7 linked regions of the Sus scrofa genome follow. The protein of the gene in region 6 purifies or fractionates together with the protein of the main gene of each other region. This does not show direct contact. Links are inferred from orthologs where the notes say so. Each region holds a gene or a part of one and is shown on either strand. Other genes may lie near its edges. The genes, in order: ZC3H18, USP39, PRPF4, SRRM2, EIF4A3, SF3B1 and SNRPB2.

Region 1 (4,576 bases), on a different chromosome or scaffold from region 6:
CATGGGTTCAACCCTAAAAAGCAAAAAAGCAAAAATAAATAAATAAATAAAAATTAAAAAATTCAACTGAGTAAATTTGAAGATCTAATTAGCTTTAGTCAACAATTTATGAATCTGGCAGCACCCCGTCTAGCATTTAGAAAGGCTTCTACAGGCTGTACAGGATGGAGGCTTTTATAGGTACAACGACATTAAAAGGCTGGATTACTTCAGGCCAGGTCACCCTCCTTTAGGGGGAGGCAAGGGGTCTTAGGCAGATTACTCCCTAGTGCTGACCAGAAAGCTCCAGACTAAAGGATTTAAATTTCCACTCCTGGGAGGGGCTGAAATTTCAATTAGATTAGTCATGAAGTCTGGTTAGGCTTAGCATAAGTGACTCCATTTTGGGGCTGTTGTTTTCATTTTTTTAATTTAAAAAAATTTTTTTTATTTTTTATTTTTTTGTCTTTTGTCTTTTTACGGCTACTCCCAAGGCATATGGAAATTCCCAGGCTAGGGGTCTAATCAGAGCTGTTTCTCTTTAAACAACATTGGGAATAGTTAAAAAGTTTAAGCTTTGACATTTAAACTCAGTATCTCAAAAATGATTGTTTTGTGTTGGATCAGTTATATTTGATAAAGCAATAGCTATTTAGTTACACAGAAATAGTTTCAAATGTTTCAGCTTTGACTTTTTTTTTTTTTTTAGGGCCACACCCTCAGGATGGAGGTTCCCAGGCTAGGGATCTAATCCGAGCTACAGCTGCCGCCTACGACACAGCCACAGCAAGCCAGATCCGAGCCGCGTCTGTGACCTGCACCACAGCTCACGGCAACACCGGATCGTAAACCCACTGAGCGAAGCCGGGGATCAAACCCCCAACCTCATGGTTCCTAGTCAGATTCATTTCCGCTGTGCCACCACGGGAACTCCTAGGCTTTGACATTTTAACTCGCTATCTCGAAAATGATCATTTTGTTTTGAACTGATTCTATCTAACGGAAGGGGGGATTTAATCCCCCCAAAACAGTTTAAAAAGTTTAATCTTCGTTATTTAAACTCATTTCCTGGAGTTCCCGTCGTGGTTCAGCAGAAAGGAATCTGACTAGCATTCCTGAGGAAGCAGGTTCGATCCCTGGCCTCGCTCAGTGGGTTAAGGATCTGGCACTGCAGTGAACTGTGCTACAGGTCGCAGACACGGCTCTGCCCCCTCGTTCCTGTGGCTGTGGTGTAGCCCGGCAGCTACAGTTCCGATTTGACCCCTAGACTGGGAACTTCCATAAGCCGCGGGTGCGCCCTGAAAAGATTAAAAATAAAATAAACTCATTTCCCTGAAAGGACTAACTTTGGATTGGGTGCGCAGCCCCCCTGCGCGGAAGCTCCCCACCCGGAAGGGGGCAGGTAAGTTCTTCGCCCCACCTCCCCGGGACCCATCTCCGCGCGCAGCTCGCACAGCGGGGCGGGAACCCGCCGGCGCTCACGCGTCACGTGACCCGGAGGCCCGGGAAGCTCTCCCAGCCGCACGACGGCCGGCGCGCGCGTCCTGAGACCCGCCCGGGAGGCGGGGCCTCGGCCGCGCCTGCGTCCTGTCGGGTTCAGGCGGGCGCGCGCCGCGGGGGCGGGGCTGCGAGGAGGCAGCTGCGCGGAGGCCGGAAGGAAGCGGGCGGAGGGCGGGGCAAGAGAGGTAAGCCCGCCCGGCCCGCAGGACAACCGTCGCGGCCTGATGACGTCGCACAATGGCCGGCCCCCGCGGGTAGTGGAGCCCGTTTGTTCCGCCCGCGTCGCGCCTCAAGCCGGAGCCTGTGAGGAGCGGAAGGGTCGAGGGACGACTTCCCCACGCCGCCCCGACCTCCGCGGAGCCGTGGCCCCCCCTCCCTGCTCTCGTAAGGTAAGTGGTGGCGCCACCACGGAGGCGGGGCGGGTAGAAGGAGGAGGCCGAGGCGGCCGGGCGGGGAGCGTGGCGGCGGCGCGGAGCGGAGGCCGGGGAGCCCCGCCGCCTCCGCCTCCGGGGAGCGCTCCAGGCTGCCCGCGGCCGAAGCGTGGTTCTCGAGCCCCAGGAAGAGGACGTTGACTCAGGCACGATCCTGCGCTCCTTTCGCTGCGAGCCGGCCGGGGACCCTGGAACCCTTTAGCCCGAGCGCACGGCGGCTGCCTCCGCGCCCGCCGTGGAGTTGATCTCCCGAAGCTGTCATTTCTCTTCCGGGACATCCGCGTGGCAGTGTTTGCCGCCTACAAAGACCGGGGGAGGGGGCGGCGGAAGGAGGCACGCAGGCTCACCCTCCGGACTGGGGATGGGCTCTTCAGGAGCTTTGAACTCTCTCGAGCCTCTTGGAACTTGCCCCCTCGGCTTCCCGGTGGCACAGGTTGGACCTATGCGCTGCGCCCCAAGATGCGCGCCACTCTTTGGAGTAAACTTCCTTTCCTTTGGTAAGGAGCCCAAAGGATGCCGGGTCATTGCTGGGGGGACGTCAGACTTTAAGACTTCCGGCTTTGCTCCTGCGAAAACTTCAAGTTTTCCTGAATTCTTACGACAGCTGAGTTGGCCAGGTAGAATGGTCGATTATCTTAAGTGAGCTGTTCAGCTCCATCTGTTAGAGTAGATCAGCCTTCGGATCTCTTTGGGGAGAATGGAAGGAGAGGGCTTTTGGGGGCACAGCAGTGGCTCTCTTGGTTTCTCATCTTCACGTTGCCTTTGGAGTGGTCCTTTCCCAGAGCGGAGATTGGGATTCTCAGGGTGAGTCTGGACCTGGGCTGATTCCCATTTCCCCAACAGGAAGTCTTTTCCTAGTGATTTTACAGTCTGAACACATGTGTGGAGCCCAGCCAGCTCTGAAACCATTCAGATGTGTCCCAGAGGTTAAAACCCCTCAGCCTCTCCAATTTGAGGTGGGAGATGGTGAAACATTTTATGAAAACTTTGTGGAATCGTTCCCGAGAGCAGAAGAGTTTTTGGGTTTGTTTTTTTTTTCCTTTTTCACTGATCATCTCGAGGTGAGTGAGTGCATCCTCCCTGAGGGGTCATTTGGGGTCAGGCTTGGTCAGGTTGGGGACAGTGTCTGTCACCAACCCACACATCCTTCCTTTGGATGTTTTAAGTCTATGAAGTTATGATTCTGCATTTTCTTTTTGTCTTTTTTTTTTTTTTGCTATTTCTTGGGCCGCTCCCGCGGCATATGGAGGTTCCCAGGCTAGGGGTCCAATCGGAGCTGTAGCCACTGGTCTACGCCAGAGCCACAGCAACTCGGGATCCGAGCCGCGTCTGCAACCTACACCACAGCTCACGGCAACGCTGGATCGTTAACCCGCTTAGCAAGGGCAGGGATCGAACCCGCAACCTCATGGTTCCTAGTCGGATTCGTTAACCACTGCGCCACGACGGGAACTCCTGATTCTGCATTTTCTTTTTTTTTTTTTTTTTTTTTTTTTCTTTTTTTGGCTTTTTAGGGCTGCACCCGCGGCATATGGAGATTCCCAGGCTAGGGGTCCAATCAGAGCTACAGCTGCCCTGCTGGCCTACGCCACCGCCACAGCAATGCCAGATCCGAGACGCGTCTGTGACCTATACCACAGCTCATGGCAACGCCAGATCCTTAACTCAGTGAGCGAGGCCAGGCATCAAACCCGCAACCTCATGGTTCTCAGTCAGATTTGTTTCCGCTGTACCAGGACGGGAACTCCTGAATCTGCATTTTAACTAGGCGTACCAGACTTGAGCATTCAGGTAGGGCTGCTCTATTAAAAGTTGTTAGCCTGGATGGTTATGTTTATATTCATTGGCGCTCCTTTGCCAAACCTCTTTCGAAGTCCTGTTTTTGTAGTAAATATATAAGCCTTGTTTGGGATATGTATCAGTCTCATTCCGTGGTCACACCCCACGTGTGACCAGAAATGCTCTTACCTTGCTTGGGAACTCACCCCACTGACCAGACTAGGCTCTGCACTGGTTTCTTTGAGAGGAGGAAGACATGCTGCCCTGGAGAGTGCCAGGCTCTGAACTGGTTTCTCAAAGTGATGCCACTTGAGAGGAGGAAGATGTGCTGCCATGGAGAGTGCCAGGGAGGTGCTGCAGGTTCGGAAGGTCACTCGGGAAGGAAAGTTCCCACGTGCCGTTCACTTGGAGTCCAGGTGTAGCCTTCCAGAGCGACTGCTGGGAAGCAGGACAGCACCCGCGGGGTCTGAGTTCCAGCGCGCTCTTCAAAAAAGGAGACGCTTGGTTCCCATGTCTTCCTGGTGCCCAGGAAGTAGTTGATCCAGTGCGAGACTTGTCACTGACTCCACAGGCAGCTGTCAGTGACCGTCACTAAATCTAACATGCTCTGGGGACTCTCTGGCCCTTGTTCTTCTGTTCTCCAGGCGAGTTCCTGTCTGTGGATCAACGCACTAAAGCCTTCTAAACTCTGCCAGTAATGCTGGGTTATGGGGCGATTGTGGGAGCAGAAGAAACTGAAAATTGTGAGCCTAGGAGTCGGTGAGGACGCGACCGCAGGTCCTTCCATTTCCGCGTGTGCACTTAATAGACCAAGGGTTTTCCTGGCAGCTGACATAGAGCACGTGTTCAGATATTTGCCAGATTAAATTAATCTCAGAACAGGACAC
Region 2 (3,985 bases), on a different chromosome or scaffold from region 6:
AGAAACAAATCCAACTAGTATCCATGAGGACACAGGTTGGATGCCTGGCCTTGCTCAGTGGGTCGAGGATCCGGCATTAACTGCGCTGTGGCGTCACAGGTTCAGATCACGCGTTCCTGTGGCTGTGGTGTAGGCTGGCAGCTGCAGCTTATTCGACCCCTGGCCTGGGAACTTCCATATGCTGCAGGTGTGGCCCCAAAAAAGACAAAAAAAATCCCAGTTTCTCGGATTACCTACATAGTCTCTCACATGGCTAGTTCTTTCTCTCCTTCATATGTATTCAGGTTCTGACCAATCAGAGAACCTCCTGTGGATTTTCTAAGAGTATTCCAATTTCCTGGGAACAAAGATGGGGGTTATTAGACCTGATTCCTAATAGCAGCTTACTTTCTTTCAAAAAACGACTCTCTGCAATAGACCTGTGGTTAGCACTGAAGATTCAGCAAGTCTGTAATGCAAAACATCTATTTACCTTGAAAGTACTTGCCACACACCAGACAGGCATAGGCATTGATATGTGACAGAGAGATGGAACACAGTTTTTCAAAGTCAAAGTCCAGCACACTCCTAAGAGAACCAAAATAAAACAGAAACAATTAATAGGGATGGATGCCTAGGCAAGCACCGAGTGAAGCAGCATTGGCTCCGTGTTCCCACGTAGCATCCTTCAGAGAATGGCTCAACAACCACATACAAATCATGGGAAACATGAACTCTTCATTACCTAGACATTTAATACAGTACCTCCACCCACCAAGCCCCAAAGTAGTGTAAAGGTATCTCCATCAGAGTTTCCACTGTGGCACAGTGAGTTAAGAATCTGACTGCAAGAGTTCCCATTATGGTTCAGCGGGTTAAGAACCCAAGTAGGAATTCCCATCTTGGCTCAGTGGTTAAAACGAATCCGACTAGGAACCATGAGGTTGCAGGTTCGATCCCTGGCCTTGCTCAGTGGGTTAAGGATCCAGCATTGCCGTGAACTGTGGTGTAGGCCGCAGATGCAGCTCGGATCTGGCATTGCTGTGGCTGTGGTGTAGGTTGACGGCTACAGCTCCAATTAGACCCCTAGCCTGAGAACCTCCATATGCCATAGGTGCATCCCGAAAAAGACAAGAGACAAAAAAAAAAAAAAAAAAAAAAGAACCCAACTAGTATCCATGATGATTCCTGGCCTTTCTCATTGAGCTAAAGATCTGGCATTGCTACAAGTTATGGCATAGTTTGCAAACGTGGCTCAGATCTGGCACTGCTGTGGCATAAGCCAGCAGCTGCAGCTCTGATTCAACCCCTCACCTGGGAACATCCATATACCACAAGTGCAGCCCTAAAAAAAAAAAAAGAAAAGAAAAAAAGAATCCAACTGCAGCAGCTCGAGTAGCTGCTGCAGAGGTACAGGTTTAATCCCTGGCCGGGTGCAGTGGACTAAAAGGATCAAGCTTTGTCCCAACTGCAGTTTAGATTCAATCTCTGGCCCAGGAACTTCCCATATAGCCATTAATTTTTTTTTAAGTTTTTAATTTAAAAAAAGAGATATCTTTATCAATGACCCTCTTTCTTTTTAGTATTCACAACCAGATGAGAATCTTCTATTACCTTCTCTGGAAGGAAAGCTACAAGTAGGACTAAAGTAACACAGTGCCAACAGCATTTCAAATGAAAAGACTGGGCATAAAATGACATAAAAAGAGCAAATAAACCCATTCATAAAAGAAAAATTTATTAAGAAGGCCATAAAAATAAGTGAGAAGTCTGAAGAATTTTAGGGAAATACCCAAAAACAGATCTATCTCCTCAAGTCATGGTATATGAACACTAGACAAGTGACAAAAAAAAAATTATTAGAAAAAAGAATGTATATATGTATGTGTGACTGGATCACCTTGCTGTACAGTAGAAAATTGACAGAACACTGTAAACCAGCTATAATGGAAAAAATAAAAATTATTAGTAAAAAAAACAATTTACCTCTACTGAATCCACAGGTGGCAAAGGGATTCCTTCTCAAGTATTAACTCTAATTAATCAGTAATGGTCCTAGGACAGCTGCACTGTCCATTAAAGGTGACACGAGGCACACATGGCTACTGGAGTTTAAATGTAAATTAATTAAAATTAAATAAAATTTAAAATTCACGGGAGTTCCCCTGTGGCACAGCAGGTTAAGGATCTAGGGCTGTCACTGCAGGGGCTCGGGTGGCTGCTCTGGTGAAGGTTCAATTCCTGGCCTGGGAACGTCCACGTGCTGCATGTGAAGGGTGCAGCCAATAAAAAATTTTATAGAATTTTTAAATTCAATTACTCAAGCCAACATTTCAAGTGGTTAGTAGCCACAGGTGCCTTGTGCCTACCACAATGAACAGCCCTAAAGAGCCACTCCATTGGTGCAAAAAAAAAGTCTATTAGACAGAGTTACCCGAAAGCATGTATGAAAAATCATCCTAAGATGCATCTGGGATCAAAAAATATCAGGATGAGGCAACCACCTCTGCTTTAGGACATTTTTTTTTTCTCTGCTGAATCCCAAGCACCTAGCGTAATACCTAGCACAGAGCGGGTGTTCAATAAATATTTAAATTTGCTATTGTCATTGACACAGTGTATCCCTTTACTTCCTCATACAAATTCAAAATGAACTACAAGTTCTCTGTGCATGTGCCCACCCTGAAAAAACATGCCCTCTGACACTTTCAACTGAAGGGCAAGAGTTCCCACTATGATGCAATGGGATCAGCAGCTTCCTAAAAGCAATGAGACACAGGTTCGCTCCCTGGCCAGGCACAGTGGGTTATGGATCCAGTGTTACCACAGCTGTGGCTTAGGTGGCAACTTAGATCTGATCCCTGGCTGAGAGGCAGCCAATAATGAAAAAAAAAATTTTTTTTTTTTTTTTTTTTTTGTCTTTTCTAGGGCTGCTTCCCGCGGCATATGGAGGTTCCCAGGCTAGGGGTCGAATTGGAGCTGTAGCCACCGGCCTACGCTAGAGCCACAGCAACACAGGATCTGAGCCACATCTGCGACCTACACCACAGCTCACGGCAATGCCGGATCCTTAACCCACTGAGCAAGGCCAGGGATCGAACCTGCAACCTCATGGTTCCTAGTTGGATTTGTTAACCACTGCACCATGACGGGAACTCCATGGAAAAAAAATTTTTTAATAAATACATAAATAAACTGAAGGGCAAAGATTAAAAAACATGGCAAGAAGTAGAATTTTCTGGGCAGAGAGCCTTTTTTTTTGGCCACACTCATGGGATGTGGAAGTTCCTGGGCCAGGGACTGAACCCATGCCACCCCTGTAACCAGAGCCACAGCACTGACAACGCTGGATTCTTAACCTGCTGAGTGAAAATGGAACTCCCAGAAAGCTTTAAAAGAGATAAAGTTTTTTTTTTGTCTTTTTGCTATTTCTTGGGCCGCTCCTGCGGCATATGGAGGTTCCCAGGCTAGGGGTCCAATCAGAGCTGTAGCCACCGGCCTACACCAGAGCCACAGCAACTCGGGATCCGAGCCGCGTCTGCAACCTACACCACAGCTCACGGCAACGCCGGATCCTTAACCCACTGAGCAAGGGCAGGGACTGAACCCGCAACCTCATGGTTCCTAGTCGGATTCGTTAACCACTGCGCCACGACGGGAACTCCTCCTAAAAGAGATAAAGTTTTTGAACATATTGCTCAACATACAGCCCAAAGAACTTTCTGCAGATTCCACTGTTCTTTTGCTGCCCTCTGCATCCCTGTGCTAGTGCATCCCTGTGCTACAGACCTGTTAATGGTATCCAGGTATGGGCAGTGGCGGCTCCTCTGGTCCTCAGAATCCAAGCGGCCATTCTTTGCTGAAAGGAAAATCATCAACAGCTTTGAAAATGGGAAAGCCATACTCAGGACCAACTACCAATAGAAACAAACACAGTGATAGGGAAAACTAATCAGGACGAGCTCCTGTATGGGTAGCCTGACAATACCCAGAAAAGCCACAAACT
Region 3 (3,985 bases), on a different chromosome or scaffold from region 6:
TCACTGATTCCCTTCAGGCCTAGGTTATTTTTTATTTATTTGTTTATTTTCTCTTTATGACTACATCTGTAGCACATGGAAGTTCCCGGCCTAGGCATCAAATTGGAACTGCAGCTGCCAGTCTGCACCACAGCCATGCAGGATCCAAGCTGCATCCGTGACCTACACCGAACCTTACTCCAAGGCTGGATCCTTAACCCACTGAGTAAGGCCAGGGATGGAATTAGCATCCTCATGGAGACTATGTTGGCTTCTTAACCTCCTGAGCCACAGTGGGATCTCCCAGGCCTAGGCTGTTTACTCCTTCTATGATTCCCCTTAGCAGCCTGGGCTTACCACTATCATAACACTTAATGTAATGTACTATGGTTCCCCAGTACTTTCTGTATATCCTGTATCCTGTCCACCCTCACCTCCACCCCCGCCATGCTACTTGAAATCAAGAACTGTTTCCTAGTCTTTTTTTTTTTTCTTGGCTTTTTAGGGCTGCACCCACGACATATGGAAGTTCCCAGGCTAGGGGTCAAACCAGAGCTGCAGCTGCTGGCCTGCACCACAGCCACAGCAACTCAGATTCCACGCTGCATCTGCGACCTACACCACAGCTCACGGCAACGCCAGATCCTTAATCCACTGAGCAAGGCCAGGGATCAAACCCGTGTTCTCATGGATACTAGTCGGATTCATTACTGCTGAGCCATGATGGGAACTTCCGCTCAGTCATTTTTTATACTCAGCACCTGAGTCAGTATCCAGCACATTGTGGCGTTGAGTGATTCACAGCCCAAGTGGTAGCAGTGGTGGGGCTGGCTGACAACTAAGTTGAACAGGGTGATTGCTTTTAGTTCAATTTAGGGACTCTGCAAATCAAGACCTCTGAGTGGAAGAAATCACACAGGAAGTTCAGGCATCACCACGTGACTCCTAAAGAAGGTGGCCTGGGTTTGAATGGTGAGAGAGTAGGGCTGACTTGTCCTCTTCTTAGAGAGACTTTTCACAATCTCACCTCTATTTAAATCTGATCTTTTTGGTAACAGGTTAAGAAACATCCTCTCAGTGGTCGGTACTGATGCCTTAAAAAAGACCAAAAAAGATGATGAGAAATCCAAGAAGTCCAAAGAAGAGGTAAATATGTCTTCGACTTCATAGTATAAACATGCAGTGAACAAGGGGGTAGTGCTCTCGTCTTCTGCTTTCGGTGGTTTACTTTGCTAGATTAGGGGACGGGGAGTCGAAGACTCTACTGCTCAGAAAGAGTTGTTGGCAGTAGTTTGTGGTTCCTGTGTAAGTCTAAATGGAGGTAAGTCAGTTTCCCATTCAAGACAGAACCATAGCATTCTTGGTGTCGCTTTTAATAAGGAACCAGAAACCATCCAATGAGAGTTCATAGAAAGAAACACAGGAGAAGGCACATGTACCTGATTTCGTCCTATTCCTGAACCAATTCACCTTTTTTCTGGGCAATTATAATAGGAAATTGACAGCAATAAAAGGGGTAGGCATTGCTTGAGACTTGACATTTCTACTCTTAATTTAACTTTCAGTATCAGCAAACCTGGTACCATGAAGGACCAAACAGCCTGAAGGTTGCTAGACTGTGGATTGCTAATTATTCACTGCCCAGGTAAGGAGAGCCTTGAGAGGGAGGAAAGAGCATACTTTTTCTTACTTCCTCTCAAAGACTGAGAATCTGCTTTATAATTACTGTGGTTGTTCATTAAAGTTGAGTGGTAGAGAGACTTGTGTGGACCCTTGTTTCCAACCCCTTTGCTCAGGGTGATAATGCTTCTGTCACAGGGCAATGAAACGCTTGGAAGAGGCCCGTCTTCATAAAGAGATTCCTGAGACAACTAGAACCTCCCAGATGCAAGAGCTGCACAAGTCTCTCCGGGTGAGATGCTCTCAGCGATTGTCCAATGTCTTGAAGATTCTTAAATATTTATTAGATGTTCTACTTTGGCCTGTCTCTAGCAAGTGAAGCCAGCTATGCTTATCCTTCTCTGCTTACACTGTTGCTGTTTGCAAGAAGCTATCAGTTAAGGTGGCAGGAAGCTAGTGTCCTTTGTACTCTGCAGAGTCCTGTGCTTCTACTCTTCAGTTCTCCGTTTTAATACATTAGACTGTACTTTAGATCTTGCCATGGCTTTCCTGTTTTTTGGGGGGGTTTGGTTTTTGGGGTGGTTTTTTTTTTTTTGTCATTTTAGGGCTGCACCTGTGGCACATGGAGGTTCCCAGGCTAGAGGTCTAATTGGAGCTACAGCTGCTGGCCTATGCCACAGCCACGGCAATGCCAGATTCGAGCCGAGCCTGCAAGTCTGCACCACAGCTCATGGCAAGTCGGATCCCTAACCCACTGAGCAAGGCCAGGGATTGAACCTGCAACCTCATGGTTCCTGGTCGGATTCGTTTCCACTGTACCACGATGGGAACTTCGGCTTTCCTGTTTATATTTAGCTGACAGAAGCTAGTGATACTAAGACTGTAGAAGACAGCTGGATGGAGTTTCCATTCATTCATTGATACAAATGTCTCCTACCAAAAAAGGGTGGAGTAATCTACGAGTGGGTTTGAATTGGAAAGGTGTTGGGAGGGTTTTTTTGTTGGGGGTGGAGGCACAATGGGGAGGGTTGGGGTGTGTGTATGTGTATGTGTGTGATTTTTTTTTTACTGGTGGAAAATCCAAGAAGGTCTGAGATTAGCCTGATAATGATCCTTTGTTTGTCTTTTTAAGTCTTTGAATAATTTCTGCAGTCAAATTGGGGATGATCGGCCTATTTCCTACTGTCACTTTAGTCCCAATTCCAAAATGCTGGCCACAGCTTGTTGGTAAGTCCCATTTTACAGTGCCATTTTTTTTCTAAGTGGGGTTCGGGGAAAAAAATCAGCATTGGTCTTACAAAGCCATTTCTATACCATTTGCCTCTGCTTCTCATGGCCACACCACGCTCGAGAGGTCAGTGCTCATTCATTGTATTTTACAGCAGAGCCTTCAATTAGCAGTTCTTAGTGTTCCCAAGGGACCCCAGAGATCCCTGACATGTCTGTCGTGTCTTGGTACTTGCATCATTTTGGAGCAGGTATATAAGTGAGCTTATAGACTGGCTACTCTGCCCATCTCGATACAGCTTTTCTTTTTTAGTTGTGTGACTTCATCTCTGTAATTCAGTTTCCTTATTGGTAAAGGTGAGATCATGTTTGTAAAGCATTTTGCCGTGATAGTGCCTAGTAGGTGGTAAGGACTCAGTAAACACGGATTATTATTTTTATCTTCATTTTGTTTTCCATTTGCCACTACATGTGCAGAAAACTCTTAGAGAGTGATAACTTTGTTGTTTTGTTTTATTTAGTTATTTAGTTAGTTCTTCTTGTGGGAGGGGAAACGTCTTTTATATTATACACACAGGAGCTCCTTGACTAGGCAGAAATTGAGACTGTGGTTCAGGAGAAAGCCGAGGACCTACACAATTCCCTCCACCCCTCCACGCCTCAGTTACCTTCATTATAAAGTAGAAATGATCATTGTCATAGGTCTGTCATAAGGATCATTTGAGGTGATAGATATGAAAATAATGTATTGGAAATTTTCCATAATAAAGCCTTTTTTTTTTTTTTTTTTTGCTTTTTAGGGCTAAACCTATGGCATATGGAGGTTGCCAGGCTAGGGGTCCAGTCAGAGCTACAGTTGCCAACACCACAGCCACAGCAACGCAGGATCTGAGCTGCATCTGTGACCTACACCACAGCTCAGGGCAACACCGGATCCTTAACCCACTGAGCGAGGCCAGGTGTCGAACCCACAACCTCATCGTTCCTAGTCAGATTTATTTCTGCTGTGCCACGACAGGAACTCAAAAGTAAAGCTTTTTTAAAAAACTTTAAGTATTTTAAAATTTTAAGAAGAGCAAAATGCTATTCACATTTCAGGAGAGTGTGTCATTGTTAATATTGTTGTTGGAGAGTTTAATTCATCTTACCTTCTCCCAGA
Region 4 (3,985 bases), on a different chromosome or scaffold from region 6:
CTTGGAGAAGAGAAGCCAGAACGGCTCTGGACTGGTGACATGACCGCCTTCACTTTGGGTTGTGGAGATGATGACCCAGATCGGCTCCGTCTTGGAGGTGAGCTAGATTTCACTCTAGGAGAAGACTCAGAGCAGCTATGTCTCAAAGGGGTCCTGGACTTCACCTCAGGGTCAGGTGATGACTCAGAATGGCTCCGTCTCTGTGGTGTTGCAGATTGTTCATTTGCCTGAGGACTTGTTACGGACCCCTGCCTCGGTGGTGTTCCAGATTTCACTTTAGGTTGAGGAGATGAACTGGAACGACTTTGTCTTGATGGCGTTTTAGACTTCTGATGAGGAGGCAGAGAAGAACCAGAGCGACTTCGCCTTAGCGGTGTTCTACCTTTAGGCTGGGATGATCCAGAGCGACTGCGCCTTGGTGGTGTCTGAGACTTTTGTTTAGGGCATGGAGAGGACCCCGAAAGGCTTCGTCTCAAAGACAAGTGAGATTTTGCTTTGGACCTTGGTGAAGAGAGAGACCTGCTCCGCCTCGAAGAAACTCGTGATTTTTTCATTTCTGGGCTTGAGTTGGACCTGCTCCTTCTCTGAGATGTTCTGGATTTGTTCTTCCGCTCTGATGATGAGCCAGACCTGCCTCTTCTTTGTGGCGTTCTAGAGTGAGATCTTCCCCGTCTTGCTAGACTTCTACTGTGCGACCTTCTTCTTGTTGGTGTCCTAGACCGAGATCTCCCTCTCCTGGCTGGTGTTCTAGAGCGAGACCGACCACTTCTTCTAGCTGGGGTTCTGGAGCGTGACCGCCCACGCCTGGCTGGGGTTCTGGAGCGTGACCGCCCACGCCTGGCTGGGGTTCTGGAGCGTGACCTGCCACCTCTCCTGGCTGGTGATCTACTACGAGACCTCCTTCGTACTGGTGATCGGGTCCTAGATCTGCGCCTAGCAGGGGTTCTAGACCGAGACCGGCCCCTTCGGGCTGGTGTTCTAGAACGAGATCTGCGCCTGGTGGGTGTTCTAGATCGTGACCTCCTCCTGGTGGGTGTCCTAGACCGAGACCGGCCCCTTCGGGCTGGTGTTCTAGAACGAGATCTGCCCCTAGTGGCAGGGGATCTAGAGTGTGACCTGCCTCGTCTTGCTGATCTGGACCTGCCTCTTCTCTGTGCATTTCTGCTCCTGGACCAGCCTGGTCGCTGAGGGGACCTAGAGCGGCCACGGCGCTGGGGGCTTCTAGACCGTCCCCACCTCTGTGCAGACCGGGACCTACGCCACTGAGGTGACCGGGACCGAGAATGACCTCTCTTTGTAGGGGTTCGTGACCGAGATCGCCCCCTCTTAGTGGTAGTAGGGCTACGAGACCTCCCCACCCTACGAGAAGGAGTATGAGAATGTGACTTATCACGCTTTGCTCGGCCACGTGAGCGACTTTTAGGTGTAGGAGAAGAAGAAATCTCTCGGCGGGACCCAGAAGCTGGTACAGGTTTAGGACTTTCAGGGGAAGAGCTGGCATGTCGAGAAACTTTAGTAGGTTGAGGGGATGGTGGACAGCTCTCTGAAGATGAATGGGGAGGTTTCTCAGGAGACTTAGGTGGTGAATGGCCCTGGGTTGGTGAAGCCTCAGATGGGGGGTTCACTGGCTCCTGACTTAAGGGGGTTGTTGCAAGGGGTTGTGGGGAGCCGCCATGTTGCTCAGCAAGGAGCGGAGTAGGAGCAGGTGGTTCAGGCCCTGTGCTGCTCCTTTCCGGAGAGGGGCTAGATCGAACTGCAGATTTCTAAGAGTAGAAAAGAGAGTAAGGATAGGCATATGTAAGCACCAAAACTTCCCATCACCTGTAAGATCCCAACCCCCTTTCCAATGAAACATTTCCTCTACAAACCCCATTATACCAACTTGTCCTTTTCCTCACCACAAGCAGTCACATCATCCAATAACAAGAAATCAAATACTTTAAAAAACAGTGAGAAACAAAGATATAGTCTGTGACCTCAAGTGTTTTATAACCTAGACAAAGAACAGAAAGCTAACTACCATTACTACCATTTCACAACAACCATCATAAAATGCTGAGTGCACAAAGAGTATTTTTAAATGGTGAGATAAAACACTTTCCCAAAGTGACTCACTTCACTGCTAAAAAAATAACTATATTTAAGTAAAAGAACAAAGACAAAGGTTTGAAAACATGATTTACGTGAACATGAAAAGACTAGGATAAAGTACTGAAAAACAGGAAAAGCAACCTAGTTATAACAGCCTTAAATATAGCTAAGGCAAGAGCAATATAAAGTAAATTAAGTCTCTGAAGCAGCCCAACTTGTAGTTTAGAAAAGTAACTTCTGGATAACACAGAATGAGCGACAACCAGCATTTAAAAAACAGACACTAAAGAAGTGCCCATTGCGGCTCAGCAGTAATGAACCCAACTAAGGAGGACACGGGTTCAATCCCTGGCCCCATTCAATGGGTTAAGGATCCAGTGCTGCCCTGACCTACGGTGTAGGTCACAGATGCAGCTTGGATCCCAAGCTGCTGTGGCTGTGGCACAGGCCAGCAGCTGCAACTCCGTTATGACCCCTGGCCTGGGAACTGCCATATGCTGCGGACCTAAAAGGAAAAACAAAAACCATACGAACAGATACTAGCAAGGTTAATAAGCAATAAAAAACTTTTGTTCAAGTTCTATCAATGTACATGTACAAACAGGATAGTGATGTAAAACCTAGTAATAACCACTCAAGTCTGAAAGACACAATTTAATGGATTTTGCAGATCTGGAAGAGAACTTGATGAGTGACTGAAACACATGCAGAAAACAAAACTCATTCCACTTCTCTTAATGAGTTCTCAGTTCTCTTTCACTTCAAATACCTATATCCTAACTAAAACCATAGCCCTGAAACCCAATGAACACATCCATTAACTCAGGAACTCACCTCCTTCTTGTCTTTACCCTTGTCCTCATAAGGACTGCCAGGCTGTTTTGCAGAAGGCTCCGAGCTACTAGGCTGCCCGGTGTTGGCAGTACCTGGTTCCCTGGAAGGCGCATCTCCCTCCCCTCGATGCCCAGAAGTAGGGGAAGGGCTTCTGCCAGTCAAGGTAGTTGTATGGGTTTTTGCTGCAGCACTTCGAGACCTGAGGGGGGTAATTGAGGATGGGAAAAGAGGAAGGAAATCAGTTCAGGGGAGAATGGAAAACCCCCTCCCCAGCTCCCATCCACCTTTCCTGACTACAACCCTTTTCCAAGAAATCTCTTATTCACAAGATTCAAATCACTCATACTGAAATTCAAGTCCAGTTCGCTTCGTTCCTTCTCCTCTCAGCATCAATCCCCAAAGATGTTCTCCCTCTACCCCTTCATGTTTACCTCCCCCAGACCCCCCAAACCCCTCCACCCAGTCCATTCCCTACCCACTTCATTCACAACTCACCTCTGAGCCCACCTCCTTCAGGAAGCCTTCCCCGATTAAGGAAGCCAGGGTAAGGATTCCTTCCTCCCCCAGACACCACGAACAAACCACCACCCCCCCTATTCTGGCAGTCCATATACATCAGAACAAAACAAAACAAAAAAATAACAAAATAAAATAAAATGAACAAAAGAACAAAAAACAAAAACAAAAACAAAAAAAAAAAAAGAGAAGGGGAAATGTTTATGTCTGTCCATCCTGATGCTTTAGCCTGTCAGCTCCTAGAGGGCAGGGACCGTGTCTTCCGAATGGTCTGTGCAGCGCCTAGCACACCGTGGGCGCTCAATAAATATTAAATTGATTAACCCACATGTCCCTCTCCCTCCCCGCCTCTTGGACCACACCTTACCGACTTCGAGAAGTATCAGAAGAGGAAGCAGAGTCAGCAGAAGTTGAACGATGGGCCCGTCGGCTCTTGGGAGCTGGAGTCGTACTTCGAGACCTGAAGGGAGACCACCGCCACAGCTCAGGGTGCTGAGCTGTCACACCCGCAGTAGAGTCCCCTCATCTGTCTCTCAAGCTTCTA
Region 5 (3,985 bases), on a different chromosome or scaffold from region 6:
TTAGAAACTAAGACTTTTTTATCGGCCGCACTTGAGGCTGGCAAAAGCTTCCAGGCCTGGGATCAAACCCAAGCCACATCAGTGGCAACGCCAGATCCTGACCTGCTGGGCCGCCAGGGAACTGCTACTCTGCTACGAGCGAAAGCCCAAACGAAATACAGAAAGACGTTCTTCAGGCAGAAGGAAGTGCAGCCTGATGGAAGCTCCCAGGAGCGAGAAGAATAACGAGTGTGGGCCTCGCGTCCCTAAATGGAAAAGCTCATTACATGAAGCGAAAGAAGTGGAGAAGGGGGGTCACTGAAGTCGGGGTTTCAAGTTCTCTGTGCAGTCAGGGGAGACAGCGGCTGACGACTCTCCAGGGCAACCACTAACTAAAATAAACATTTTCCAAAATGAGAAGTGGGGAGAGGAATAATAACAAAATCCAAACTAAAGAAAGAGAATCACAGGAAGAAATGACAAGTAAAATGCACTTACAAGGCGGTCCATTTAAACCCAAATACGTCAGTATTTACGTTAAATGAAACTACACTAAATGTTCCAGTTAAAAGACAGCAATCATCATCACATGAAAAGAAAAGGAAAAACAAAACCCAACTATATGCTACTTAATCCACCTAAAGCTTAAGCCTGCAAACCGGATGTGAGGCGGGGGCGGTGGTTGCTAAGAAGTCACCGAGCACGCGGGGTCCGTCCTACAGCAGGATTGGGAACAGCACTAGCAGCGGAGGGCAGACACTTGGCGGTGACAGCTAAGTCCTCTGGAGGGAGATCCAGTCATGCTAAACTCGGACACAGAGTCTCGGCACAGAAAGCAAGAATGGACAGAACCCCCAAGAGGAAGACAGCAGCCTCAACCCTGATGAAACAGAGGTAAGGCGGGGGGCGGGGGGGGGATGCAGCTCTGACAAACAGAGCGGGCAGCTGAAAGCCAGAAGACAGGCAAGCGCACTGCGCCAGCACCGCACAGCACCCGTCTGGTCCGAGCACAGAGAAGGTCTGTAAGAGGACCCCCATGCGGGGACAGAAAGCAAGTCTGAATTCCCACGGAGGGCTGAAATCACACACAGCGAGTTCTCTGACTACAGAGGAACTAAGCTACAACCAATACAAAAAGATTAACAGAAAATCCCGATTTATATGTGGAAACAGCAAAGTAAGTTTCTCAGTAAGGCAGCCAACCTACATAGCGAAGGCCAGTTCTCACCTCAACCTAATCCATCACACCCCCAGCCCCCCCAAGCTGACCTCCCGGAGCTCAGCTGCGGGGGAGAACTCGGAACCACCCGTGAACGCTGGCCGGCTGCACCTGCACCGGGACCAGGGCAGAGGGCACAGCTGACCCACCTGGCACCCGAGCGGAACTCCTTCATGATGGACTCGCGCTCCTTCTGGGGCATGTCCCCGTGCATGGATGACACGGTGAAGTTGGCTTCCCTCATCTTCTCCGTCAGCCAGTCAACCTACAGACGGAACCAGCAGATGCTGCCATGAGCTCACAAACCAGAGACTGTACTCAGGATGTCCTGTCAGTTCCTGCAGAGCCAATGCGAATACTCAGAAAGCGATCTGAAAACGCAGGCTAATCTCCACTGGAATTTTGCCCAGCACATATCAGGGCAAAAAATTCTCTAGAAAAAAAACAAGGGCAGGGGAGGCGGGTGGAGCTCCCGCCGTGGCCTAACAGGATCGGCAGCGTCATGGGAACACTGGGATACAGGTTCAATCCCCGGCCTGGCACAGTGGGTTAGGGATCCTGCACTGCCACAGCTGTGGCTTGGGTCACGACTGTGGCTCAGATAGTCCCTGGCTTGGGAGTTCCACTGGTGGCTCAGCTGGTTAAGAACCTGACCAGTATCCATGACCATGTGGGTTTGATCCCTGGCCTCGCACTGCCACAAGCTGTGGCATAGTCACAGATGTTGCTGGGATCCCTCACTGCTGTGGCTGTGGTGTAGCCCATAGCTGCAGTTCCAATTAGACCCCTAGGCTGGGGACTTCTACATGCTGCAGATGTGGCCCTTAAAAAAAAAAAAAAAAAGGACAATACATCGCTGTTCTCATTTGAAATGTAAATTCACACTTTCTTTGGAATGTGGTTCAAAGAGACCTGCCAGGGGTTCTCAGCTCTGCCTGCACGTCAGCATCACTTGGGAGCACAGAACCAGGCCCACATCCCACCTGAACCAATGGCCCTGAGCCTTCAGCTGTGGGGCCGGACCAACATCCTGGACACGCTCACGTGTCTACCCACTGTCCACGAAGACTTAGAGCTAAAGAGCAGACACCGTGGCCGCCAGAGACCATGTGCTGAAAGCCTAACGCAGGTACTGCTGGCCCCTGACACAGAGTCTGACCTAGGTTCTGTGAGAAGCCATCTTCAGTTTTTGCCTCAGGGACATTAAAGGGGCGCGTACCTTCCTCTTGGTGTTACAGAAGATGACAGCCTGAGTGATGGTGAGTGTGTCATAGAGGTCACACAGGGTGTCAAACTTCCACTCCTCTCTCTCCACGGCCACAAAGAACTGCTTGATGCCTTCCAGAGTCAGTTCATCACTGCAGGACAAAGACAAGCCTGTCAACTCATCCTTCCAAAAGGACCTGAGAGCACATGCAGGCCAGGCACTGTCCAAGCACCAGCCCGACCCTGGCAGCCCAGGGGCCTGGTCATTAAACCCCTGCCCTCCCGCCAGCCACATCCTCCCAGGAGCCAGCACCTCTGCTGTCCCTTTAACAGCCTGGATCAGTCTGAACCTTTAATAACCACCAAACCTTGTATGTGGTTTCAAATGTTCAGCTGTTCAATAATATGTACATAACCAATAATATCATAACCAATGATAAATAATCTTGTTGATATGTAAACACTATCAGCAAATTTTAAAATCTGGAATTACTGAATCAAAAGAGAATGTATAAAAGCTGGCCTTTCCCCCAAACTATCTACAATTTTATTTCCATTGCTCTAGTTATAGAAATATCCTCAAACCTGGCTTTTCAAAAGAGAAAAGGATAAATAGTTTTCACGTTTGAAACCCCAAATACAACTATGCTGCCTCAGTCCCATCTGCAAAGCAGGGCGTCCTCACCGTTTCACCAAGATGCGGATGGGGTCGGTCATGAACTTGTTGGTCATCTCTAAGATCTCGTGGGGCAGCGTGGCGCTGATGAGCACCACCTGCGTGGCCGGGGGTAAGTACCTGTACACGTCGTAGATCTGCTCTTTGAACCCTGGGACAAAGGGTGAGACACACGGGGAAGTTTTAGGCTGCACAAATCCAACGCCAACTCTTCACACGTAATCTAACGCATTTGATGTCGTCGTGAGGTGCAGACGTCACGAGGAACCTTCCGGCAGAGCTGGACCAAATTCTCGCATCCCCTCTCATCTCCCGGGTGGGATCACGGCCCCCCCACCCCCGAGAGTCCTGGATGCCAACAGTTAAAAGCAACAGAAACCCGAGCCCCGAGAGGCCAACAAACGTGGACCCCTGCAGGTGATGACGACTCAGTTCCAGCTGCTGCTGCCCTGAAAGGATCTGCATCAACTCTGGCCAGATTGCCACATTTTAAAACATCTGGATTTTCACCAAAAAATACTCCCATAGACATCAAACCATTACGCGGTCCACCTGGAAATGTTACATGTCAATTTCACTTTAAAAACCTCGGGGGGGGGGGGCACGATCAAAATGAAGCTCACCTCCTCCCTCAGATATGTCAAAAAATACACGTGGAAAAATTCTCACACAGTATCTACTCAACACTAGACGAAGACCTCAGACTTCTGAAAGGGCAAGAAAACCTCCCCATAATCGGGGAGGAGTGAAGGGAACTGAGACGGGACCTGCGGCCCTGGGAGGACGCTGTTGAGGAGGAAAGGTCCCACACCCAGAAAGTTCTCCGCCAGGACGGAGGGGAGCTACGAAGCCTGGGGAGGAGTTAAGCAGCCGGCACAGAGAGTGACCTGCACAGAAGGTCAGGG
Region 6 (3,985 bases):
CCAGACCCTATTTTAAAATTTTGAAAATACAAATTTGTTACATTAGATTTAAGTCACTTCAATAAGTAGAAATAAAAAGAAAAATGAAATCAAATTGATGGATCTACCTTTCCTCTGTGTTGGCGTATACCTTTCCATAGAGGCTTTAACACAGAATCAAAAGACTCGATACCATAAGGAGTTGCTGCTTCAGCCAAGGCAGCAATGGCCAAAGCACTAATGGTCCGTACTTTCTGCTGCTCATCCACAAGACCTATAAAAAACCAAACACAGGTTTCCACTGAGTAACTTTACCTAGTTTCTATAATATCAAGATTCTAGCGATACACATAACAACTTAAGTCAAACTGAAGCTGTTCATATTAGACAAAGTTAGACCAAAGCCAGTATGAACCACAACCTATGAGCAGCTACTATTAAAAATCCCATCATAAACTATATGGTGTTTAGGCAGTTCACTTCCATTTCTCGCTCCAAAATCTGTAGCCTAAATTTCAAGAAATCTGTCTTATAAAAAACAAAGTTATAACACAACTTACCATGTTCAATGATTTCAACTAAACTTCTGAGATGAGGCAAGATGGCACAGCCCATAAGAATAGCTATCTGCTGTACAATCTTAATACCAGTGTGCCTAGCTTGCCAGGACTTCTTGCTTTTGCACACAGCTTTTAAGAAGGGCAATAAGGATGGAATGCCCAGCGCAGAGGCTACAACAGCAAAAGCTCTAGCTGTTGTGTTACGGACATACTCATCCATGTTATCTATATCAGGCCTCATGGTAGAGATCATAGTAGCCAGACCAGCAGCCTAAAAGTTTAAGAAAAAGCACAGTTATGAGTTGATAACATTACCCCCCAAACAGTTCCTTCTATAATCAAATAATCCCATCAACTAATATAAAACTTTCTTCTCCAGAAATATAAATACCTTTGCCAAATTAGAAATAATCTCTCGGCCTTCCACTCTAGCATAGTAATCTTCATCAATCAACAATGGTTCAATGACCACTAGGATCTGAAAAAGAGAAGCTACACTGTCACACCAATTACTGATGCAATACTCATGGGACAGAGTACAGGAAATTTATACTGGCCAAGAAGTTGTTAATCAAGGGATAAATTAGGATTTTAATCACATAATTTCAACCCCACATAAAGATGAATATTTGAGAGAACTGTTAACCATATAGACTATTTTTTTTTTTTTTTTGTCTTTTTTGCTATTTCTTGGGCTGATCTCGCGGCATATGGACGTTCCCTGGCTAGGGGTTGAATCGGAGCTGTAGCCACCGGCCTACGGCCTACGGCCTATGCCAGAGCAACGCGGGATCCGAGCCGCATCTGCAACCTACACCACAGCTCATGGCAACGCCAGATCATTAACCCACTGAGCAAGGGCAGGGACCGAACCCGCAACCTCATGGTTCCTAGTCGGATTCGTTAACCACTGCGCCACGACGGGAACTCCAACCATACAGACTATTAAACACACACATATACACACACACCTGTCTGAACTTACAATTCTAAGTCATAATTACTACCAGCAAAAAATGGTTCTTAGCACTAAGTGGCACAGTAGAGAAACACATATTTTCTCATCCTAATATCAAGAAAAGCAGATTTTAAAATATGAGTAATATGAACCCAACACATAAGATGGCAAAAAGTTACATCTATTTATGTATATATTTGTACATGTGTGAGGCATGCTTGTGCAAAAAGAAAAAGATCTGGAGGGTATGTAAATTTAACACTGGTTACTGAATAATTTTAAAGAGGCTGAAATTTCCCCTTTTAGTATAAAAGTACGGAGTTCCTGTCATGGCCCACTGGTTAATGAATCCAACTAGGAACCATGAGGTTGCAGGTTCGATCCCTGGCCTTGCTCAGTGGGTTAAGGACCTGGCATTGCTGTGAGCTGTGGTGTAGGTTGCAGACATGGCTGGGATCTTGCCTTGCTGTGGTTCTGGCATAGGCCAGTGGCTATAGCTCCGATTAGACCCCCAGCCTGGGAACCTCAATGTGCCACGGGAGCGGCCCTAGAAAAGGCAAAAAAATAAAAATAAAAAAATAAAGGTATACCATCAGCTATTATTGTTTTAGAGTTTTAAATTTTCATAAATACATCTAATAAGCTGGTTAAAAAAAAAAAGTCCACAAATTCCTTTTATGTTAAAAACACCAAACCATTAGAAACACAAATTGAAAACAAACCTTGTGCACATATGGGCGAACTAAATCATCAAGTTTGTATAATATTCTATCGATAACTTTCACAAGCAAATGACGTTCTTGATCCTCAAGTGTAGGAGACATCAGCAGAGGAAGAATCTGATTAAACAAAGGACCAGCTCCAAACTCACGAGCTTTATCAGTAATCTGACGCAATGCAGCCTGGAGAAAAAAAAAAATTATAAAGGCATGTTTCTTTATAATAAACATTTTGCATAAGCAAATTAGTTATTCTATGGTTTTCTCTAACTAGTGGAACGAAGTTTATTCCCATCAAAATTATTCTGAAGTTTGAACTCCTATAATCAAAGCTCAAATGTTTTCAGTTAATTCAAAAAGGATAACAGAGTAAGAGTGTAACATAAAACTCAACTTCCCCTAAAGAATCAATCATCTTCAAGCCACATATAATACTAATACAATTCACAATGCAATTCAACTATAATAAAAAAAAATTTTTTTAAATTCTGATACAATTCCCTCAAATAATTCCAGTAATTACCTTAGACTCTTCAGGCTCTGAGGATAAAATGGAGTATCTCTAAGACTACATGACGTGATGATTTAATAAACTGGTACTTACCTTTCTCATGGGAGGTGTTCCATTCTTAATTTTTAAAAGCAACTTCATTATTTTTCTCTCTTTTTGCTCTTCTGGACTAAGGGTTGATTCATCAACATCAACCTAATAGGAAAAAGTAAAAAATTTAAAAGGTAGGTGGAGATTAAGATTTTTAACAACTAAATAAAAAGTAACACTTTTTAAATCAACTATAATTTAAAACAGTAAACCTTTTTTAAAAATTACTATTTTATCTCTGCTATTATCACTTACCAAGAGTTTATCAAAGTACTGAATATCATCAGGTTTTAAAAACGGAAGATTTCCAGATGGCTGGTCATTAACACTTTTCATAGTTCTATCTTCAGTTTGCATGTGGAAACCAGTCATACCACCCAAAGGTGTTGGAGTTGCTGTCAGCTTTCGAGCTGGAGTTCGAATAGGAACATAACCAGCTGGAGGAGGAAGCACCTAATAGAATTAAAAGACGGTTTAGGATTTCCTTAACTTTATAAAGAACAACATAACTGAATAATATTTGCACTTAGGAAGCTTTTTGCTTAGAGACAAGAATTAATTAACATTGACTTGACTTTTCTGTCTTCATTTTAAAATATGACAAATATTAATATTTCTTATTGAATTTAAATTAACTTTATCAGAAGTGTGGGGGAATGAAGAGATACACAGAGTAGGCTTATGAAATTCTCATCACTTTCAAACAATCTATGTAAACGTGTTACTGAGCCAATGTCATAAATGAAAATAAGCTCACAGTGCACATATATAATGTATAAATGTTCATATTTTAATAAAAATTAGAAATCATTCATATAAATCTCTGCATCATAAAAGCAAATCGCTACTTAAGTTGCCCTACAAAAATGAGCTGACTGCATAAACACTAAAACCAAAATATTTAGCAAAGCCCTGTAAAATACACACCGTTTGACTAAACCCCAAAAAATTCACTACAGATTCACAGAGGATTTCCCCCTCCTACTGATAAAGAAATCAATAAATGCAATTAAGACAGACACCCAGGTAGTTGATAGTAGGCTCCTGACTACGCCCACAGCATTACATGGAGTCTTTAAATAAGTTATAAAGCAGTAATTCCATGCATACTTAAAATAGACACTCTAATGCTAACTGAACAGGGGGGAGGGGGGTATTACATACATAC
Region 7 (3,360 bases), on a different chromosome or scaffold from region 6:
TGGTGTGGGTTGCAGACGCGGCTCGGATCCCACATTGCTGTGGCTGTGGTGTACGTCAGCAGCTACAGCTCTGATTAGACCCATGGCCTGGGAACCTCTGTAGGCCGCAGGAAGCGGCCCTAGAAAAGGCAAAAAGACAAAAAAAACCCCAAAAACCCCAGCAGATATTTACATTTATAATTACTGCATAAAAGTATGATTAACAGATTTTTTTATTCTACCTTACTTTTGCTGCAAATTTACATTTCAAAAACTCACTCAAACATTTATGTATAGTAGAATATTTTTGAAAGGTCTAGCCCTAACTTTAGACTATATCATAAAATTCAACCTCCAGGCTTTAAAATTATGGAGAAATATATAAGAGAAAAGCCAAGAACTAGTCTTTCTCACTTTTTTTTTTAAATACACAAAAAAGCAAAAAATCATACTTAGTAAAACTGATTTGTAATCACTTTCAATCTCAAAGTAACTACTTTTTGGATGATAATTTCACCTTTATCTAGTATTTTGAATTAGATTTTGAATTCCTGAACTGTTCAAAGAAAGCAGCTTTGAGTGGAATACTCATGATTACAAGGTAACATCTATAGCATTATTTATACACAGAACTTGAAAAATAAGCCAATAGATATTAACATATTTTGGAGAATGATGGAACCAAATGTCAGGCAAATTCAAATAAAACTGTTTAATATATATCTGCCATAAGTAAAGTTTTACATTATAATGTGTTGCTTAAACACAAATCTACAAATGTTAGAACTCAACCATTCTAGCTTCTTAAAAATCCACCTCAAACACACAGAGATGCACAAGCATGCCCCAAAGATCACCCCTCAAGTGGAAGACAAAGAACTATCAAATTTTCTGACACCAAAAAAATATGAACATTTGCCCATCTTACCTGACCAGGTTTCTTGTTCACGGTGGTTGCAGTCTGCTCCACAGTTTTGGCTTTTTTCTTTTCTTTTTTCTTTTCTTTGTCAGCAAAAGTACCACGCATTTTAGATATTATATCAGAATCTGTTTTTGCATACTGGATTCGCTGTTTTAATTATTTGAAAACAGGTTACTTTTCACTCCGCTGAAGCCTGTTTACACTTGTCATTAATTTTGCAAATTTCATTAAGCAAATATGAGCTAATTTTAAACACATCCTTAAGGAAATGTCAAATACACTGAGCTCCAAATGAAAATAAATTGTGGCCCATGATTTACAAGTGAGACAAAGTTAGATTCAGCTATGTGTATTAGAAGAAAAAACCATATATTTTCAGATGAGAAAACGGGACTTTGAAATATCCATACCACTGCTCTCCTCCACTTAAAAAAACAGAGAAAACTGCACTGGAAAGCTGTCCATCCCTTAGCAAGGATGCTCAACAGAAGGTCAAAATATGCATGGGATTGTTACTTCCGAAATTAAAGTACCAAAGATTGAGAAAGACCTGCCTTTGAATCTGAGCTATTATTTTTAAATGAAATGACTAATGGGGGCATCAACTTAAATTTTAAAAGCTTTGAAAGGAAACAAAAGGATGACAACATAGCTAGTGCAACTACAACACTGACCTGATTGACAGGCCATAGCCAGGAGGCATAGCACACACCAGGGAGCAGGCATGGAAACACCCTGGTCTAGGACTACATTTCATCAAATTTAACATGCATTCCAATTACCCAGAGAACTTGCAGATCCTGATGCAGTGGTTCCGCTGAGGCCTGAGAGTCTGTACTTAAAACAAGCACAGAGGGCATCTGGGAGAGGGGGCACACCATGAGCAGTATGGCCCTGCCCTAAGGCACTGTCACATAGCTAAGTCTCATACCAATTACCTGTCCCAAAACTTTTGCTACAAGTTATGCTGTCATCCAGGTGTGCCTATTTGCAAACTACAACTTCCAATTCAAGGGAATATTTCTTCCCTGGCACCCAAAGAGCCGAAACTACCTCTGTGATCATACCAAAACACCACAGCCCTATCAATTCTCTCTAAAATTGTCCCGTATGGCAAGAAATTGATTTCAGTCTGAAGGGAACAAGTGACATTTTAAAGTAATGCAGGCTTTAAAGCAAGAAATGTGTCACAACCAAGCAGTTCTTTCCCCACCCCACCCCTTTTTAAATGGCCTCACCCATGGCAATGGAAGTTTCTGGACCAGAGATTGAGTCTGAGCCACAACTGCAGCAAAGCCCCATCCTTTATAATCTACTGCACCGGGCCAGGGATCGAACCCATGCCTCCATAGCAATCCAAGCTGCTGCAGTTGGGTTCTTAACCCACTAGGCCACAGCAGGAACTCCCTTTCTTTTACATTAGCTAGAGATGAATGTACAGGAGAATGAGAGGGCAGCAGGCCTCCCAGGACCGCTCAGTCCCAAAGGCTTCCTATGAAAGCTCTAGCCACTAGACCACGGACTTAGCTGTGATCAACTCTTGATAATCCTGCATGTCGTCATCTAATGGAAAGGGACAGGTCTGGACTAACTCTGACTTGGTCCCAAGGATTCCTTCCCAGCTACCCTGGGTCTTTAACCTCCTTGTTGACCTAAACAGATCTTGGGTGGTCTTGTATTTGTCCCTGTGGCCTGAGAATACCTCTGCCCTGAATCCTCGCTTTCAGCAGGCTGGTCTGGAGCAGCAGTTCTCAATCAGGGGAGAATCCGCCCCCAGGAGACAGCTGGCAGTGCTGAAAGGGGGCACAGTGGGTTGTCATGCTAAGAGGGCAGAGGCCAGGGGTGCTCTAGACACCTTACAACCAACAAGGCAGCCCCAGCAACTATTCAGTTCAAATACCCCAAGTATCAGATGCTGAAAAGCCCTGGTCTAGACTAAATCCTGGTATAGGATAAAAGTCCATTCACAACTTAGAGAAGGCGCAAGATTTACATTTATTCCAAAGGTTTCATTACAGAAGCCCTTAGGAAGATGGTTCTGTCTTACTGAGCTACTTTGGAAATTAAATATCCAAATATCCTTGAATCACAGAGCATAATTTTGTTCTGAGTTCCAAGTTATATAAATTTTTGTTCATTTCTAATCTGGTATGTTGAGTTAAAGAGCAACTGAAACCACCTAAGTAAAGACAGCTCAAGGAACATTCTTTTCCTTTTCCAGGATGCTGGCGACTTGGCAGCAACTACTACTTTCCTAAAGGCAGAGAATGGACCTCCTAAAATACCTTCAATATGAGATCAGTCTAATGGGCTTTTTCCATTGATTTTAAAAATTTAGTTGGCAAGGTGAAGCCAGGGCCAAACACAGTGAACAATTTTCAGCTTTCCTGGATCTGAGTCAGTCATGCAACCTTGTCATCCCAACTTAGCAAAACAGACCTAAAAACCTCAAGAGGAAA

Evidence for each region.
Region 1: the proteins of SF3B1 (region 6) and ZC3H18 purify together in Homo sapiens (affinity purification with mass spectrometry; 3 studies listed by BioGRID and IntAct, with this or other methods). This does not show direct contact. The link is inferred for Sus scrofa from reciprocal best matches to the Homo sapiens genes SF3B1 and ZC3H18.
Region 2: the proteins of SF3B1 (region 6) and USP39 purify together in Homo sapiens (co-immunoprecipitation; 3 studies listed by BioGRID and IntAct, with this or other methods). This does not show direct contact. The link is inferred for Sus scrofa from reciprocal best matches to the Homo sapiens genes SF3B1 and USP39.
Region 3: the proteins of SF3B1 (region 6) and PRPF4 purify together in Homo sapiens (co-immunoprecipitation; 3 studies listed by BioGRID and IntAct, with this or other methods). This does not show direct contact. The link is inferred for Sus scrofa from reciprocal best matches to the Homo sapiens genes SF3B1 and PRPF4.
Region 4: the proteins of SF3B1 (region 6) and SRRM2 purify together in Homo sapiens (co-immunoprecipitation; 3 studies listed by BioGRID and IntAct, with this or other methods). This does not show direct contact. The link is inferred for Sus scrofa from reciprocal best matches to the Homo sapiens genes SF3B1 and SRRM2.
Region 5: the proteins of SF3B1 (region 6) and EIF4A3 purify together in Homo sapiens (co-immunoprecipitation; 3 studies listed by BioGRID and IntAct, with this or other methods). This does not show direct contact. The link is inferred for Sus scrofa from reciprocal best matches to the Homo sapiens genes SF3B1 and EIF4A3.
Region 7: the proteins of SF3B1 (region 6) and SNRPB2 purify together in Homo sapiens (co-immunoprecipitation; 6 studies listed by BioGRID and IntAct, with this or other methods). This does not show direct contact. The link is inferred for Sus scrofa from reciprocal best matches to the Homo sapiens genes SF3B1 and SNRPB2.

Annotation. Positions count from the first base shown.
Region 1 is NC_010448.4:1,078,637-1,083,212, reverse strand, and holds the start of ZC3H18 (zinc finger CCCH domain-containing protein 18), read left to right. Parts: upstream 1-1,684; 5' UTR 1,685-1,868; intron 1,869-4,576.
Region 2 is NC_010445.4:59,146,199-59,150,183, forward strand, and holds part of USP39 (U4/U6.U5 tri-snRNP-associated protein 2), read right to left. Parts: intron 3,839-3,985; coding exon 3,769-3,838; intron 568-3,768; coding exon 473-567; intron 1-472.
Region 3 is NC_010443.5:253,912,472-253,916,456, forward strand, and holds part of PRPF4 (U4/U6 small nuclear ribonucleoprotein Prp4), read left to right. Parts: intron 1-1,037; coding exon 1,038-1,125; intron 1,126-1,544; coding exon 1,545-1,624; intron 1,625-1,797; coding exon 1,798-1,891; intron 1,892-2,731; coding exon 2,732-2,826; intron 2,827-3,985. UniProt on the Homo sapiens protein: Plays a role in pre-mRNA splicing as component of the U4/U6-U5 tri-snRNP complex that is involved in spliceosome assembly, and as component of the precatalytic spliceosome (spliceosome B complex).
Region 4 is NC_010445.4:39,281,831-39,285,815, reverse strand, and holds part of SRRM2 (serine/arginine repetitive matrix protein 2), read right to left. Parts: intron 3,902-3,985; coding exon 3,809-3,901; intron 3,125-3,808; coding exon 2,926-3,124; intron 1,764-2,925; coding exon 1-1,763. UniProt on the Homo sapiens protein: Required for pre-mRNA splicing as component of the spliceosome. As a component of the minor spliceosome, involved in the splicing of U12-type introns in pre-mRNAs.
Region 5 is NC_010454.4:2,305,947-2,309,931, reverse strand, and holds part of EIF4A3 (eukaryotic initiation factor 4A-III), read right to left. Parts: intron 3,232-3,985; coding exon 3,090-3,231; intron 2,557-3,089; coding exon 2,418-2,556; intron 1,464-2,417; coding exon 1,348-1,463; intron 1-1,347. UniProt on the Homo sapiens protein: ATP-dependent RNA helicase. Involved in pre-mRNA splicing as component of the spliceosome. Core component of the splicing-dependent multiprotein exon junction complex (EJC) deposited at splice junctions on mRNAs.
Region 6 is NC_010457.5:101,285,800-101,289,784, forward strand, and holds part of SF3B1 (splicing factor 3B subunit 1), read right to left. Parts: intron 3,271-3,985; coding exon 3,073-3,270; intron 2,923-3,072; coding exon 2,821-2,922; intron 2,400-2,820; coding exon 2,220-2,399; intron 1,018-2,219; coding exon 931-1,017; intron 811-930; coding exon 540-810; intron 254-539; coding exon 108-253; intron 8-107; coding exon 1-7. UniProt on the Homo sapiens protein: Component of the 17S U2 SnRNP complex of the spliceosome, a large ribonucleoprotein complex that removes introns from transcribed pre-mRNAs.
Region 7 is NC_010459.5:25,367,465-25,370,824, reverse strand, and holds part of SNRPB2 (uncharacterized protein LOC768116), read right to left. Parts: intron 1,049-3,360; coding exon 908-1,048; intron 1-907. UniProt on the Homo sapiens protein: Involved in pre-mRNA splicing as component of the spliceosome. Associated with sn-RNP U2, where it contributes to the binding of stem loop IV of U2 snRNA.